Saccharomyces cerevisiae S288C: one gene and its partners. The protein of the gene in region 1 purifies or fractionates together with the protein of each later gene. This does not show direct contact. Each region holds a gene or a part of one and is shown in the gene's direction. Other genes may lie near its edges.

Region 1 (5,455 bases):
CATTCTTTGGTTGTGCTTATACATAATTGAAAAAGTGCTAAAATCCTTACACTTCCAAAACATTGAAAGTGGTAATTATTTTCCATCTAAAACCGTTGGGAGCCACCCCAGAAAACCCTTATTCTCTGCCTTCGTGAAACAGCTGCTTATATTCATTGTTGGGCTGGGCGTGATGAAGTTCTGCGTGTTTCTAATACTAAACTACTTAGAAGACTTGGCATACTGGTTCGCCGATCTTATCCTTGGCTGGTCAGATTCATGGCCAAACTTTCAAGTTTTTCTGGTCATGTTTGTCTTTCCTATCTTACTGAATTGCTTCCAGTACTTTTGTGTCGACAATGTCATCAGGTTACATTCTGAGAGCCTAACGATAACCAATGCAGAGAATTTTGAAACGAACACATTCCTAAATGACGAAATTCCTGATTTATCGGAAGTCTCAAATGAAGTGCCTAACAAGGATAACAACATTTCCAGCTATGGTAGCATAATATAGTATTCCAAGGATAAGGAAAGCATGCACTGTTTATTTCCTTTCCTTGCTTAATTGATTTTTTTTAAAGGGAACAAACATTTTGATTTCAATTTCCACAAGCCTAGACTCTTCAACACATAATCTGTGGGTTATTGTTTGGGAAAGCATTCTCCGCTAGAAGAATGAAACTGGCGCTCAGGTTTGATTCTATAACTACGGCAGTTTTTCCTATTCTATTTTCGTTTTTTGATTTTCCCGCCGCATTGGATATTCAATTCGCGACGCTAATAATTGGCATTTCGTGTTCTTAAGTAATTTCGTGTTTCAAATAACCGTAAACAGAGAAAGACCCAAGAATTTCAGATGGCTTAGAAGAGGTAGACATTAAATCAATCTGTATGTGATGGAGAGGGAGTGTATTTAAAAGACGTAAGAAAATGAATTATCAAGATCCGTTATGGCCATCTAGTCTCTTTCTTGTACACTAGTTGTCTAACACAACCAACAAATTAGAATATATATCGCAATGATTTTCAAAATATTGTGTAGTTTACTACTGGTAACCTCCAACTTCGCTTCTGCCTTATATGTCAATGAAACTACGAGCTATACACCATACACGAAGACATTAACTCCAACATACTCTGTTTCACCTCAAGAGACAACATTAACGTACAGCGATGAAACAACCACCTTCTACATAACATCTACTTTTTACTCTACCTACTGGTTCACTACCTCCCAATCAGCTGCTATTATTAGTACACCTACTGCAAGTACACCTACTGCAAGCACGCCTAGCCTAACTACGTCCACAAATGAATACACCACCACCTATTCTGACACAGACACCACCTACACGTCTACTCTGACCTCTACTTACATAATAACTCTATCTACGGAATCCGCCAACGAGAAGGCTGAACAGATTTCCACGAGCGTCACAGAAATTGCTTCTACAGTAACCGAATCGGGCAGTACATACACCTCTACTTTGACCTCAACCTTATTGGTTACTGTATATAATTCCCAAGCTAGTAATACAATAGCGACATCCACAGCTGGGGACGCCGCCTCCAATGTTGATGCCTTAGAAAAGTTAGTCTCTGCTGAACATCAATCTCAGATGATTCAAACCACATCCGCCGATGAACAGTACTGTAGTGCGTCTACCAAGTATGTTACAGTTACAGCTGCTGCAGTTACCGAAGTGGTTACTACTACGGCGGAGCCTGTTGTTAAATACGTTACTATAACTGCCGATGCTAGTAATGTTACAGGTTCTGCTAACAACGGTACCCACATTTAATGCGTGACGTTGAATCGAGAAAAAAAGCTACTTTTAACGAAACCTTTACTAGTTATCCTATATGGGATCACTAGTATTTTTTGATTTACGATTCAATAAATAGACTAGAGACAACTTTCATATCATTCCTTAAAAAATACATAAAGCGCAAATTCAACCCCATTGATACATATATAAGTAGTTCTATTATGACTTTCAAGAACAATAGTAGCTTTTCTAAATAATCAATAAGTAGCACAAAATCTGTCTGTTTGTACGCTTATATTTAGTTTGCGTTTATTTGCGAGCGCCACGAGAAGGGGCAGGAAAAAAAGATCAATAGTTTGCAATAAACATCGAATGATGATTTCAACCACCGATACATAAACCAGCGAGGCTTTCAAGGAAGAATGAACGTGAACTCGTCAACTCAAAAAGAAAATGAGCCAGCATATTAGGAAATTAGATTCTGATGTTTCTGAAAGACTTAAATCTCAGGCATGCACGGTATCGCTAGCATCAGCGGTTAGAGAAATAGTTCAAAATTCTGTAGATGCACACGCTACCACTATCGACGTCATGATCGACCTCCCTAATTTGAGCTTTGCAGTTTACGATGATGGTATTGGTTTGACTCGAAGTGACCTAAATATATTGGCCACACAAAATTATACTTCCAAAATACGAAAGATGAATGATTTAGTAACGATGAAAACCTACGGTTACAGAGGAGACGCCCTATATAGCATTTCTAATGTCTCTAATCTGTTTGTTTGTTCCAAGAAAAAGGATTACAACTCTGCATGGATGAGAAAATTTCCATCCAAAAGCGTCATGTTGAGTGAGAATACCATACTCCCAATAGATCCTTTTTGGAAAATTTGTCCTTGGAGCCGAACAAAGTCTGGTACTGTTGTTATTGTTGAAGATATGCTGTATAATTTACCTGTCCGGCGCAGAATACTAAAGGAAGAACCCCCTTTCAAGACTTTTAACACAATAAAGGCAGATATGCTACAGATACTGGTAATGCACCCGATGATTTCACTCAACGTACAATATACAGACAAACTCAGAATCAATACAGAAGTTCTTTTCCGCTCAAAGAACATAACTGAGGGGTTAACAAAGCACCAGCAAATGTCTCAAGTACTGAGAAATGTGTTTGGGGCAATAATACCACCGGATATGCTTAAGAAAGTTTCCTTGAAGTTTAATGAATATCAGATTGAAGGGATCATATCGAAGATGCCCGTTGGATTGAAGGATCTTCAATTTATATATATCAATGGCAGACGTTATGCGGACAGCGCCTTTCAAGGATACGTCGATTCTTTATTCCAAGCACAAGATTTCGGGGAGAAAGGCATGAGTTTACTCAAAACTAAAAGCGTGGGAAAACCGTATCGATCACATCCCGTCTTCATCCTTGATGTTCGGTGCCCCCAAACTATCGATGACCTGTTACAAGATCCAGCAAAGAAAATTGTTAAGCCTTCCCATATACGTACCATTGAACCATTGATCGTTAAGACCATTCGCTCCTTTCTGACATTTCAAGGATACTTAACGCCTGATAAATCAGATTCATCTTTCGAAATAGTCAATTGTTCACAGAAGACGGCAACATTGCCTGATAGTCGAATCCAAATCAGTAAACGTAATCAAGTATTAAATTCAAAAATGAAGATTGCACGCATTAATTCATACATAGGAAAACCCGCTGTCAATGGATGTAGAATAAACAATAGTACAATAAACTACGAAAAAATCAAGAATATAAGAATCGACGGTCAGAAATCAAGGTTACGGAATAAACTCTCTTCCAGGCCCTACGATAGTGGTTTTACAGAAGATTATGACAGTATAGGAAAAACCATAACAGATTTTTCAATATCAAGATCTGTCCTGGCAAAATATGAAGTGATTAATCAAGTAGATAAAAAATTTATTCTCATACGTTGTTTAGACCAATCTATTCATAATTGCCCACTATTAGTTCTAGTTGATCAACATGCTTGCGATGAGAGGATAAGACTAGAAGAGCTATTTTATAGCCTGTTGACAGAAGTTGTAACCGGAACTTTTGTTGCACGAGACCTCAAGGATTGTTGCATTGAAGTTGATCGTACTGAGGCTGACTTATTTAAGCATTATCAAAGTGAATTTAAAAAGTGGGGAATTGGCTATGAAACAATTGAGGGAACAATGGAAACCTCACTTTTGGAAATTAAAACACTGCCTGAGATGTTAACTTCCAAATATAACGGGGATAAAGACTACTTAAAAATGGTCTTGCTGCAACATGCTCATGACCTGAAGGATTTCAAAAAACTTCCAATGGATTTATCCCATTTCGAAAACTACACTTCGGTTGATAAATTATATTGGTGGAAGTACTCAAGCTGCGTTCCAACGGTCTTTCATGAAATTCTTAACAGCAAGGCATGCAGATCTGCTGTTATGTTTGGAGATGAATTAACCCGGCAAGAGTGCATAATTTTAATTAGCAAGCTCTCGCGATGCCATAACCCATTCGAATGCGCCCACGGGAGACCTTCTATGGTACCCATTGCAGAATTGAAGTAAAGAGAACCTTAATCCTGGAACAAGGTTTGTCGCCTGCATTTTAAATTGCGCGGATATGCAAAACAGAAGATTACCTCATCACGTTGTCAAAACCTGGAAAAATTTAAAAAACAAAAACAAAAAAGAAACGTGCGATACAATACTGCTCCACTGTTGCATTACCGTTTTATGTATCTCTGATATTATAAATGTAGCCCTAGATTTATATGAATATATATATATATATATATACCATTTATATATGCAAACACAAAATAACCTAAAATTTAAAAATGACTATTGATGGAGACGTACATGAAATTTCCCCATTTTTCCAGGTTAGGCAAACTAAATGGGGCGGTAGGGCTTGTTTCAGTAATGGTAATATTCCTAAAGGGACAACAGTCTTGCAAGTCAGTAATTTTACAGGAACATCTATTTCCTATGAGTTCAGGAAGGAAGTTTGTCACAATTGTTTCGCATACGCTAATGCGAAAACTATGAAGTACAAACTAAACTACGATTACCTGAGAGATTTGGTTTGTAATGCACACTACCAAATTAACCCTAAGAAGTTTCTGGGCGCTGGACTGTGGTTCTGTTCAGAACATTGCAGAACTTCTTATCTTCAAATACCAAATATCATTGAATTAATTGAATGTTATGAGATATTACTGCATCATTTTCCAAGCATGCTGAAAAGATATAATTATACCTCTGAACAGGAGGAAAAATTAAACTCTATCTTAATTTCGGAAAATGTCATACAGTCTTCATGGGATGAGATTGAAAGTAAATGGATACCGCGCATCAACAACATGAAATCTGCGAAGAGAATAAATCAATTACCACCCACTTGCGAAGATGAATATTGCTGCATTAGGTTTGTGTGCGAGAGTTTGTTTAATCTTAAATATATGGATCCTCAGTGCATAACATACCGAGCTTTCAATATGTTACAATCGAATGAGCTTAGCAAAATATCTAAATTTCCTGTCTTACTGCACTTTCAAAAATTAGTATTTCAAACACTCTATATTCTATTACCTTCACATTTGCATAGAATGCTCTCCATACCGCTATTGAGACATATATTAGGTACTGAATATGGGAATGCTTTTGGT
Region 2 (5,479 bases), on another chromosome or scaffold:
GAGGGGACTTGATCTTACGGAACTCTGCAATTCTTTTACTGATGGGTTTGATGGTCTTATTCGCAATGGAATTCAATGATCGATTGCTATTCCCACTGCCATCTAACAGGCTCTTGATGTGTTTAAAATTGGACGAACTGGGATTAGAAGTTGATAGCATATCAAAATAGATGAAATCATTCCTGTTAATTATTTTGGGCAAATATTTAGACAAATCGTTAATGGAAGCAGATTCATCGGCATTGAAAATTTCTTGAACACCATAAACCCCAGACCTAAATCCTTCCCACTTTTCAGCAAACGCATCCTTTGGCGGAACCAGCATGTGGAAAATTGTATCACTTAAACTATCCGTTGGCTTTTCTAAAATCATGACCGAATTAGGTTCATTCCAACCACTAAGATAAAACAGGTCATTTTCCTGTTGGAACGGATAAAATACTGCTCCAGATGCAAATTGGATATCGTTACCAGCTAAAATCACACAACTTTTGGGAGGCAATGTTTCCGCCAACCTAATTCTTCTTTCATAGTATTCCAAGGCTGAAATGCCTGGTGTCAACTCGCCCGACTTTATAAGGAACGGCCTTGTCTCATGCAGTGGTTGGCCTGCCTCAATGGGGATTCTGACTCTATTAGTAAAAGTATTACTTTTATGCTGTTCCAATGGCGATACCAACTTCGAGAAGTATCTTTGGCAAGATTGCATAGAAAACCGTACTGGGTTTATCCTATGTAACATATCAACAGAAAATGACCACTTTTCCTATTAGCTTTTTCTATTATATTCTTTAGAATTGGTGGAGTTTCTTGCGCAAACGATCCACTTTTGCAGTGCAGTAAGTGATCCCTATACCAGGTGAGTTGATATATATTTACTGTATCTTGTACTATTTTATGAACAAGAAAGGCTATTACTCACAACAGTTTTGGTTTCAGTCAAAGTTTATGTGTGAGTGTGAGTGTGAATGTGTGCGTGTTGCATAATTGCATTTGGCCTTTCCGAGAAATAAGTCATTCTTTATTTTTCTCTCTTTACGGTTTAATGGTGCGGCTTTCGTATCTGCGTCTCATCCTTCCCCCTTGCCGCTTGTCAGAACTCTCTAGCTTGGCGATTCTCTATCAACCTGTTATTCCAATTCTTATATCTACCATTACCTTCCAGCATTTTTTCAAATGTGTTCACACGCCCTGTAACGTTTATATATAAATATTTTAATATTTAACTTAGCTTATGCATATATAGTTAAAAGGGATAATAACAATAAGAATAAAAAACACAAACTGCTGAGATAAGAAAAGGAAGCGAATAGTTAATAATGCCTGATTCATCACATTCAATAAGCTCAAAAGATGTTGCATCTGCCATCTCTCTCTATGATCAGTCCATTTACACTAATAACAGGTCTACTAACCTGGACTTAGATCAGAGATCAATGAGCCCTTCCAATATTGCCTCTGGTGAAGATAGGATAACGAGAACGAACTCAGGTTGCTCCATCACATCAGGTGCCTCCATGATTGCCACGAAGGATGGTATTCAGGGGATTAATGTCAAAAGAGATGGGATTCCGAAATATTCACTTAATTTATTGAATTCCATGGTTCGAAAACAATATGATCACAATAATGGAACAAAGTCTCCTACCCCGAAGACTAGCAATATGGTAGACCCTAAGAACAAAAAGAAGAACAAAAAAAAGAAGAATGACAAGGATGACAAATACAAGGTATCGCATGATCAAACCGAAAAGTTTTACAAACTCAACACCACTTCCAACTCCAATCTCACCTCTGATTCTACTACTTCGTTATCGGACCAGTTTTATTTCCAGAAAAGTAACGCTGATTCTGCTCCATTAGACAATGCAAATTACCCACTCTCCGACCATTCCCCCTCCCTAAACTCTATGGATAATACTACAAAGCATAGCAGCAATGTGCACACTTGAATCACGTGAACCACAGTAACCTAATTGCTCAAATTTTGAGAGTTAAAGGAAAGAATAAAATATATAAATGATACGTTTATACCCGCTAAAAAAAAAAAATATAAAACAAAAAAAGGATCTCATAAGACGATTTGTTGGGATATGTCCACATCTTTCGGCTATATACTACATTTAGCTGTTTCCCGTTTCTTTGTATTATTCCCTTCTTATGTATAACTTTTACTAGTAATAATTATAATAAATATTCGTTTTGAAACATGGTAATTTCAAATGTTCAATGTATTTTCGGGCCGATTGCTGACCAGCGACACTTTAAGCCGAACTGTATTTAGTAGACTCCCTTTTCTCATCAGCGAAGAAGAAGTAGCAAAAGCTGTTTAGCAAGCAAGACAGCAATACGAAGACCAAGCATGATTAGGTACACTGTTGCTGGCCATTCCAGAAGGTGTGTAGTAGGAGCTTCGAAAAGAGTGGGTGCAATTAAATGTATCACCGTCGCCGCCACCAAGAGATTTATCTCCAATAAGCCAAACGAAGTTTTTACCAAGCTAACGAATGACAATGATCCAAAGAGAGATGCCTTTTTCAAATATACGTGGGGCTCATGGCTTAAAAATGATAAGCAAGAAAAGGAAAAAAGATTCACGAAGTTTTCGATTGAAGGTTTAAATCGCATTCTCAATGACATCTACATTCAATCTAATGAAATGGCTAAGGCCCCCGACGGTAAGATCTTACCACCAGTGTTTAACAAGAACTTGACCGTTTCATTGGTCAATAACGTTGTACCAAAGAATATAGGTAAAATCAACCCAAATGAAAAAGTTCAAGTAACCACATTATCTAGTATTCACGAAGGTAAACATCACAGAATATACAAGGTCGACACGAATTTGAACAAGGCATTTATCTTGAGGATTCCTTATCCGCTGGAAAATGAAAACACTCTATCCTACAGAATAAGAAGTGAAGTAGCAACCATGGATTTTGCTGACTTGAAGTTGGGCATCAAAGTTCCCAAGATTTTTTGTTATGGTGTCAATTCTTTGAACCCTGTAAGGCAGCCTTTTGTCTTACAAGAATTTATCGAAGGAGAACTCTTGATGAAAGATTGGGATCCATTGATTGAAGACGGTTCCTCCAATCAAAAAAAATATGACAATGTTATTAAACAAGTTTCTGATTTTCAGTCGAAGTTAGTGTCATTGAAATTAAATGCATTTGGATCCATATATTTTAACAATGACTTAAAAGACGGAAATGAGAAGGAGTTTGTTAAGGAAGACATATACGATGGGGAAACTAATCCGGATCTACAAAACAGATGGAAAATTGGGCCATCCGTGGAAAGATGTCTCTGGAGACATAAATCTCACTTGGATTTTCATAAACAAATGAAACCTTTTTTGGGACCATGGCCAAAGAAGTCTCCAATGGATATAATTAAAAATACTGGCCTATTGGAAGCTGAAAATGCTAAAACTAGAATAGCCATGAAAGAGGCAGGAAGTTCAGCTGAATTGATGTATCCTCGAACTTTGAAGGAGCAAATAACTACCTATGAAAATTTAGCTAAGATTGCCCCGGATTTATTCAACGTCAAAACAAAGGCCATTCCAAATATGCAGGAACTATTGTCACCACGTTTGTTTCATCCTGATCTAGACCCCATGAATATTATTGTTAACAAAGAAGCACAAGAAGCCTATCTATTAGATTTTGAAGGAGCATGCACAAAACCTTTCATTTTACAGAATTCGCCACAATTCATCGCCTATGATGGGCCCAAGATTTATGACTTAAAGGAGGACATAACCGATTTTGACAAATTATCTGAGGCGGAAAAGGTGCAATATCAGTTCATGTACAAGCGCACCCGTAATCAACATCAATGGGAGAAAAAATTAAATGACAATAATCCTAAATTAATTACTGCAGTTGCCCCACCTGTTAAGCTACTGAGAAGCCCATATATTGCAGCTGTCGAAAGAAAAACGGAAGAAGAGTATTTACTTATTGATGAATCACTATTGCAATTGAAGGAAGTTTGGGACATCTTTGCCCAGAATGAGTTAGTGAATCAGAAAAAGTTTCCTCTAAACTATAGTAAAGAAGATATTGAAAGACATGTTGAGGATTTGCAAAAATTACACGAAAAGCTAATCTCTACACCATTTGCTGCCACTCAAGGGTGGATTCCTCAAGATATGTTTGATCAACTATTAAATTCCGGCAGTATTGTTAAGCAAGAGAACGGAGACTACACCGTGAAGCAACCTGAAGCTACCAAATAATCTATACTAAAAATGAAATATTTTTTTGTTTTCTTTACCTCATTCAACTGTATAGAACGTTATAACAAAATAATCAAGTTAAAACCCTTTTTTGTACACAATGGAATCTCTTCCATTTACTAATCAACTTAACAATGCTGGATTGGATATATTGATAACGTTTTAAAAAGCGTTGCGTGATGTTTGGGTGCAATTGGCGGAAAAGCGGAACTTTCAAATTTACGATAGGTGGAGATACATCTCCACCTTTCTCCCCATTATCTTTGAATTTTCCTCAAATATATAAAGAGAACAACAAATCCATAGAAATGCCATTGTTTAATCCTGATTATCTACATTGTTTTAGTTTTTTACTCACAATCGAGTAATGCCTTTGTTTGGCCAAGCTATGTGCAAATATCACAAATTAAAAATTTGGTTAAGCAGTTAGGCTGGACCTAATATTTTAGAAAAACCTAATTTTTTTTGTGGACCCATTTTCGATATTTACTCACAAATGGAATTCAAGGGGAACAACTTCGGTCTCAGCACTTTAATTATTCTTCTCGTTCCCACCTAATTTCGCAATTTATTGTCCTTGACTTCTACCACGAGAAAAAAATTAAGAAAATGCAACGCTGCCCGTGCAGGGTTTTCTGAGCGGGATGAAAAAATCAGACAAATATCCAAGTTATGAGTAATTACTTTGTTGGAAGGAGGGAGCAGAGGATAAGGAAATTCTTAAAACTGTTATGTATATAAAGGAAGAACCATTTCTAGTTATTTCACTTTTTGATACTTGTCAACTATCTTAGTAAAAATACAGAACTCTATAAAGAACCACAGAAAAATCGACAGCAATGACAAGCATTGACATTAACAACTTACAAAATACCTTTCAACAAGCTATGAATATGAGCGGCTCCCCAGGCGCTGTTTGTACTTCACCTACGCAATCTTTCATGAATACCGTTCCACAGCGCTTGAATGCTGTAAAGCACCCAAAAATTTTGAAGCCTTTCTCAACGGGTGATATGAAGATTTTACTATTAGAAAACGTTAATCAAACTGCTATTACAATCTTCGAAGAGCAAGGTTACCAAGTCGAATTCTATAAATCTTCATTGCCCGAGGAAGAGTTGATCGAAAAGATCAAGGACGTTCATGCTATTGGTATCAGATCAAAGACTAGATTAACTTCAAATGTCTTACAACATGCGAAGAATCTGGTTTGTATTGGTTGTTTCTGTATCG
Region 3 (4,804 bases), on another chromosome or scaffold:
ATTTGAGAGGGAAAAAAAGAGAGAAGGACAGAAAAGAGCAGCCTGAAATTCATAGCATAATGGTTAAGGAAACTCCATTACACTCATCTTCATCAACTTCGCTGTCTTCATTATTTAGGCCAACTAAGTTGAAGAATTTATCGGCTAAAATATTCAATGGAGGTGGTAACCAATCATACTCAAAGACAGATGATGTTTCAAGGTCTTCTTCTAGATCTTCAAAAAAGAATACAGATTCTGACCAAGAGGATCAAATAAAGTATAACAAACCCAACGACCGAAGATCTACCATAGGAAAGAGCCCCCAGGGAAATGGCGCGTTGTCAAAGGAGTCACACGTAGTAGCAAGTTCTACTTTGACAGGTATTTCTCCTACTTCAGCTAAAAAAGCTCCTATTGACTACTCTCCTTCACGGCCCTTACCTAACAATCATAATCCCGTTCGTACGGGACACACTGTGCCCCACTTACCCCATAGTATTCACAATCCAATAAACTACATTCATCAAGGCTCAAAAGATGCTTTCCACCATCCTCACCCCGTTCGCTCTACAGCTCATAGCAACATTTCTACAGTGTCTTCTGCAAAATCTGATACACCCTCTTCGAATTTATCATACCAGGCACATATGCATCCCGTAGAGATACTACAGAAACAGATTGAAGACAAACACTTCATGGACTCTCAAGCCTCCACCCCTGGGTCCGTGGAACTACAGCATAATTCTTCAAGCGGTAGTGATGATACCTCATCAAGAAAGAAAAAATCCTTGAGATTAACAAGATTTTTCAAAAAAATTCATAATGATTATCACGATAACCATCATCATCACCACCATCACAACCGTGGATCCACCCCTACAAAACCGAAGCTCAATTTGAACACCAATGAAAATATAGTAGAAAGTAACGGAAAAGCGTTATACGAAACAGATAACCCAGTGGAGCTATTAGAAAAATATGGTATTCCTGGTAGAAAATTAGGCGAAGGAGCTTCCGGTTCAGTGTCCGTAGTAGAAAGAACAGACGGCAAGTTATTTGCTTGCAAAATGTTCAGAAAACCACACTTAAACAATGAAGGAACTAATCAGTCTCAATTAGCTAATTATTCTAAGAAGGTTACCACTGAATTTTGTATTGGTTCCACGCTGCACCACGAAAATATCGTTGAAACCCTAGATATGTTGACTGAAGGTGACACCTATTTATTAGTAATGGAGTATGCGCCATATGATTTTTTTAATCTCGTCATGAGTAACCTAATGACACAAGATGAAGTCAACTGTTACTTCAAGCAGCTGTGCCACGGCGTTAATTACCTGCACTCTATGGGCTTAGCTCATAGGGATTTAAAATTGGACAATTGTGTCGTCACTAAAGATGGCATCTTGAAACTGATTGACTTTGGGAGCGCTGTAGTGTTCCAATACCCTTACGAAGATACCATTGTAAAATCACATGGAATCGTGGGTTCTGACCCTTATTTGGCTCCTGAGTTATTGAAACAAACATCCTACGATCCAAGAGTAGCAGATGTGTGGTCTATCGCTATTATATTTTACTGTATGGTCCTTAAAAGATTTCCTTGGAAGGCTCCAAAAAAGAGCTTCAACTCATTTAGGTTATTTACTGAGGAACCTGAGGACGAAGATGATATAGTTCGGGGGCCAAATAAAATATTAAGGCTACTGCCAAGACATTCACGGACAATAATAGGCAGAATGTTGGCTTTAGAACCAAAGCAAAGAGTTTTAATGAATGACGTGGTAAAGGATGATTGGCTTGTATCCGTCCCCTCCTGTGAAGTTGACCCTACATCTGGCGATTTGGTTGAAAAACCAAAGAATCATAAGCATCACTTGGTCACTGAGGAGGAGTTGAATGAGCTGACCAAGCAACACGGGAATAAAGATTCAAATTAATGAAATAAACACTTTTTAAAAGATAAAACCTAAAAAATTGTATATAGAAGATTCAAAGTACTATAAAAGGCATTATATAGGAATAAAAGATGGTGTGCATACAGGTGAAAAAGAAAACTAGTTAAATCTGGAAAAAAAAAACGCTCATATATATACAAAAACATAAATACATTCGTCAAAACAAAAAGCGCTTAAATAAATAAAAGCATTTTTTAGATAATCTCAACGGGCGCCAAATTGAAGTCACCCGACGCATAAAATTGTGAACACGCCCTATTAGATTTTACAAAGAGGAAGTCTCCTCCCCTATAAACTGCAAAGAATAATTGAAAAGTGATTTAGCGCAGATAAATAAGACCACCATAACCACATATGAGTAGGAAAAAATGTTCAAAGTTCCAGTGGGATTAGCCAGTAGGACAAGGGAGCTTATGAACAGCGTTACGCTCAATAGTCTCAATAATGGAAAGGGTTTCAATATGTACTTGCCAGGAATATTAAGGGCTTTTCCTAAACCAGTGCCTTCGGCGATTACATCTCCCGCAATTCCAAAATATCGAGGAGAAAGTTTCCAGTTTCGTAAGCTTTCATGCATTTCTTCTAATTATTGTTCTACCACTCACCAATTTCTATCCAGTCTGAAAAGCTCGACATCCAGGTTGGTTGGTAAAAGAGCCTTCCATTCGTCACGACGTGCAGAAATAAAGTTTATATTTTCTTCGAAGTCACCAAAGAACGGTAACAAGCCGTTTGTGAAAGTATATAAAGTCTCCCCATTTTTTATCATATTTGCAACTGCAAGTATCTTCACATTCATTCTAACATCAACGATAGTCGTTATTCCCTTAATTTTTCACTTTTTTTTTCCCCTTCTTATTATGTTCTTTTTTTTTAAACAATTCAAAAAATGGCAGAAAAATATCTTTTACAAAGATGTCTTGACCTCCTTACCGAAAACAAAATTGAAAATAACATTACCCACCATGAGATCATTACAATTACAACCTATGGTTCAGAGTTGGAAAGAGATATCTTCCAGGATGGGAATTCCAAACGAGTTTGCCAAAGGTTTGAATGTTGATTTAGTAAAGCAAGAAGAAACCAGAAAGCAGTTTCTAAGTTTCCTGCAGAAAAGAGTGTTGGAGTCCTTCACCAAGAACGAACTGGGAATAAGATCCTACTTTTTAGGAGACAGCGTCGAGAAATGGATCAAAGAATCCTATGACTTGGAACTCGATATTGATAATTGCCGAAGTGAACTCAGAAAATTCCAAACTTTCATATTTTCCAGTGTTCGATACAAGTTGTATTTAGACTCAATGAAAAATTTACCGCTAAACCCTTCAAAAAAACTCGAGGGCAAGAAGCATATTGCAGACGTATATGTCATTATTTTAGACGAATCCTTTCCTGCAATAATGTTCAATGGCGGAGCTTATTCGAAGGCTGATTTTTTCAAGATATTACAAGAAAGTGAAACCTCTAACAGCAGCAAAACCCTTAACACAATTATTGCCATCAAAAGTGTAAATACGCTACTATCAAAACACTTTGTTATCACAACAAATGGTGATTCTGGAGAATTCTTTTCAAAATATAACATTTCAAAAATAAACGACAAAAACACTGAATACACCCTAAAAGAGTAAAGAACATTAAAGTTTTTGTTTGAGCATTACTGTGATGCCACAATTTATATATCATACATGTTTATATATTCTGACCAATACCTTTATTTATGGTGTGCAGTGACACAAAATAATTTTTGGTGTCACTTCCATCGTATTAAATGATAATATCAATTAGAAATAGTAAACAAAACCAAAAAAAAACTACCAAGGGTTGCAAAGAGTAATAGTGATGTTTATGTGAAGGCAAGCTTAAAGAGAATTTAAGATCTACTATATTAATAGTAACCTACAAAATTTATAGAAGCCTACTTGACCCAGCCCACTGAAGTCTGAATAGGAATATTGCAGTTGTTTATAGAAGTAGCTTTACAACCAAAATAATAAATTGTTTCTGCAAGAACTGGATGATCTCAAAACAAACATGTCAACAAACTCATTCCATGATTATGTGGATTTAAAATCGAGAACTAATACACGACAGTTTTCAGATGACGAAGAGTTCACTACGCCTCCAAAACTAAGCAATTTCGGATCAGCTTTACTTTCCCACACAGAAAAAACTTCAGCATCAGAGATATTATCAAGTCATAATAATGACAAGATCGCAAATCGATTAGAAGAAATGGACAGGAGTTCATCAAGGAGTCACCCCCCACCGTCAATGGGCAATTTGACATCCGGTCATACTAGTACCTCATCGCATTCAACCTTGTTCGGACGATATCTGAGAAATAATCACCAGACTAGCATGACGACGATGAACACTAGTGACATAGAGATAAATGTTGGAAATAGTCTTGATAAGAGTTTTGAAAGGATAAGGAATTTGCGACAAAATATGAAAGAAGATATTACGGCAAAGTATGCTGAAAGGAGAAGTAAGAGATTTTTAATATCCAATAGGACAACGAAGCTGGGTCCTGCAAAGAGAGCGATGACTTTGACAAATATCTTTGATGAGGATGTGCCTAACTCTCCAAACCAGCCAATAAATGCAAGGGAGACAGTGGAATTACCACTTGAGGATTCTCACCAAACAAACTTTAAAGAAACGAAGAGAAATACGGATTATGATTCAATTGATTTTGGAGATTTGAATCCTATCCAGTATATTAAAAAACATAATCTTCCCACAAGTGACCTTCCACTAATATCTCAAATCTACTTTGATAAACAAAGAGAAGAAAATAGACAAGCAGCACTCCGAAAACATAGTTCCAGAGAATTGCTTTATAAAAGTAGGTCTTCTTC

Evidence for each region.
Region 2: the proteins of MLH3 (region 1) and AIM9 purify together in Saccharomyces cerevisiae (affinity purification with mass spectrometry, with the first as the bait; one large-scale study listed by BioGRID). This does not show direct contact.
Region 3: the proteins of MLH3 (region 1) and MRX9 purify together in Saccharomyces cerevisiae (affinity purification with mass spectrometry, with the first as the bait; one large-scale study listed by BioGRID). This does not show direct contact.

What each region holds. Positions count from the first base shown.
Region 1 is NC_001148.4:238,247-243,701, reverse strand, and holds MLH3 (mismatch repair protein MLH3), read left to right. Parts: upstream 1-2,204; coding exon 2,205-4,352; downstream 4,353-5,455. Other genes in the region: YPL162C (uncharacterized protein), read left to right, coding at 1-496; SVS1 (Svs1p), read left to right, coding at 1,002-1,784; SET6 (Set6p), read left to right, coding at 4,625-5,455. UniProt on the Saccharomyces cerevisiae protein: Involved in DNA mismatch repair (MMR), correcting insertion-deletion loops (IDLs) resulting from DNA replication, DNA damage or from recombination events between non-identical sequences during meiosis.
Region 2 is NC_001137.3:317,601-323,079, forward strand, and holds AIM9 (Aim9p), read left to right. Parts: upstream 1-2,362; coding exon 2,363-4,246; downstream 4,247-5,479. Other genes in the region: ICP55 (aminopeptidase), read right to left, coding at 1-742; YER078W-A (uncharacterized protein), read left to right, coding at 1,046-1,210; YER079W (uncharacterized protein), read left to right, coding at 1,320-1,952; phosphoglycerate dehydrogenase SER3, read left to right, coding at 5,086-5,479.
Region 3 is NC_001136.10:402,462-407,265, reverse strand, and holds MRX9 (Mrx9p), read left to right. Parts: upstream 1-2,308; coding exon 2,309-3,571; downstream 3,572-4,804. Other genes in the region: putative serine/threonine protein kinase RTK1, read left to right, coding at 60-1,922; serine/threonine/tyrosine protein kinase MPS1, read left to right, coding at 3,975-4,804. UniProt on the Saccharomyces cerevisiae protein: Component of MIOREX complexes, large expressome-like assemblies of ribosomes with factors involved in all the steps of post-transcriptional gene expression.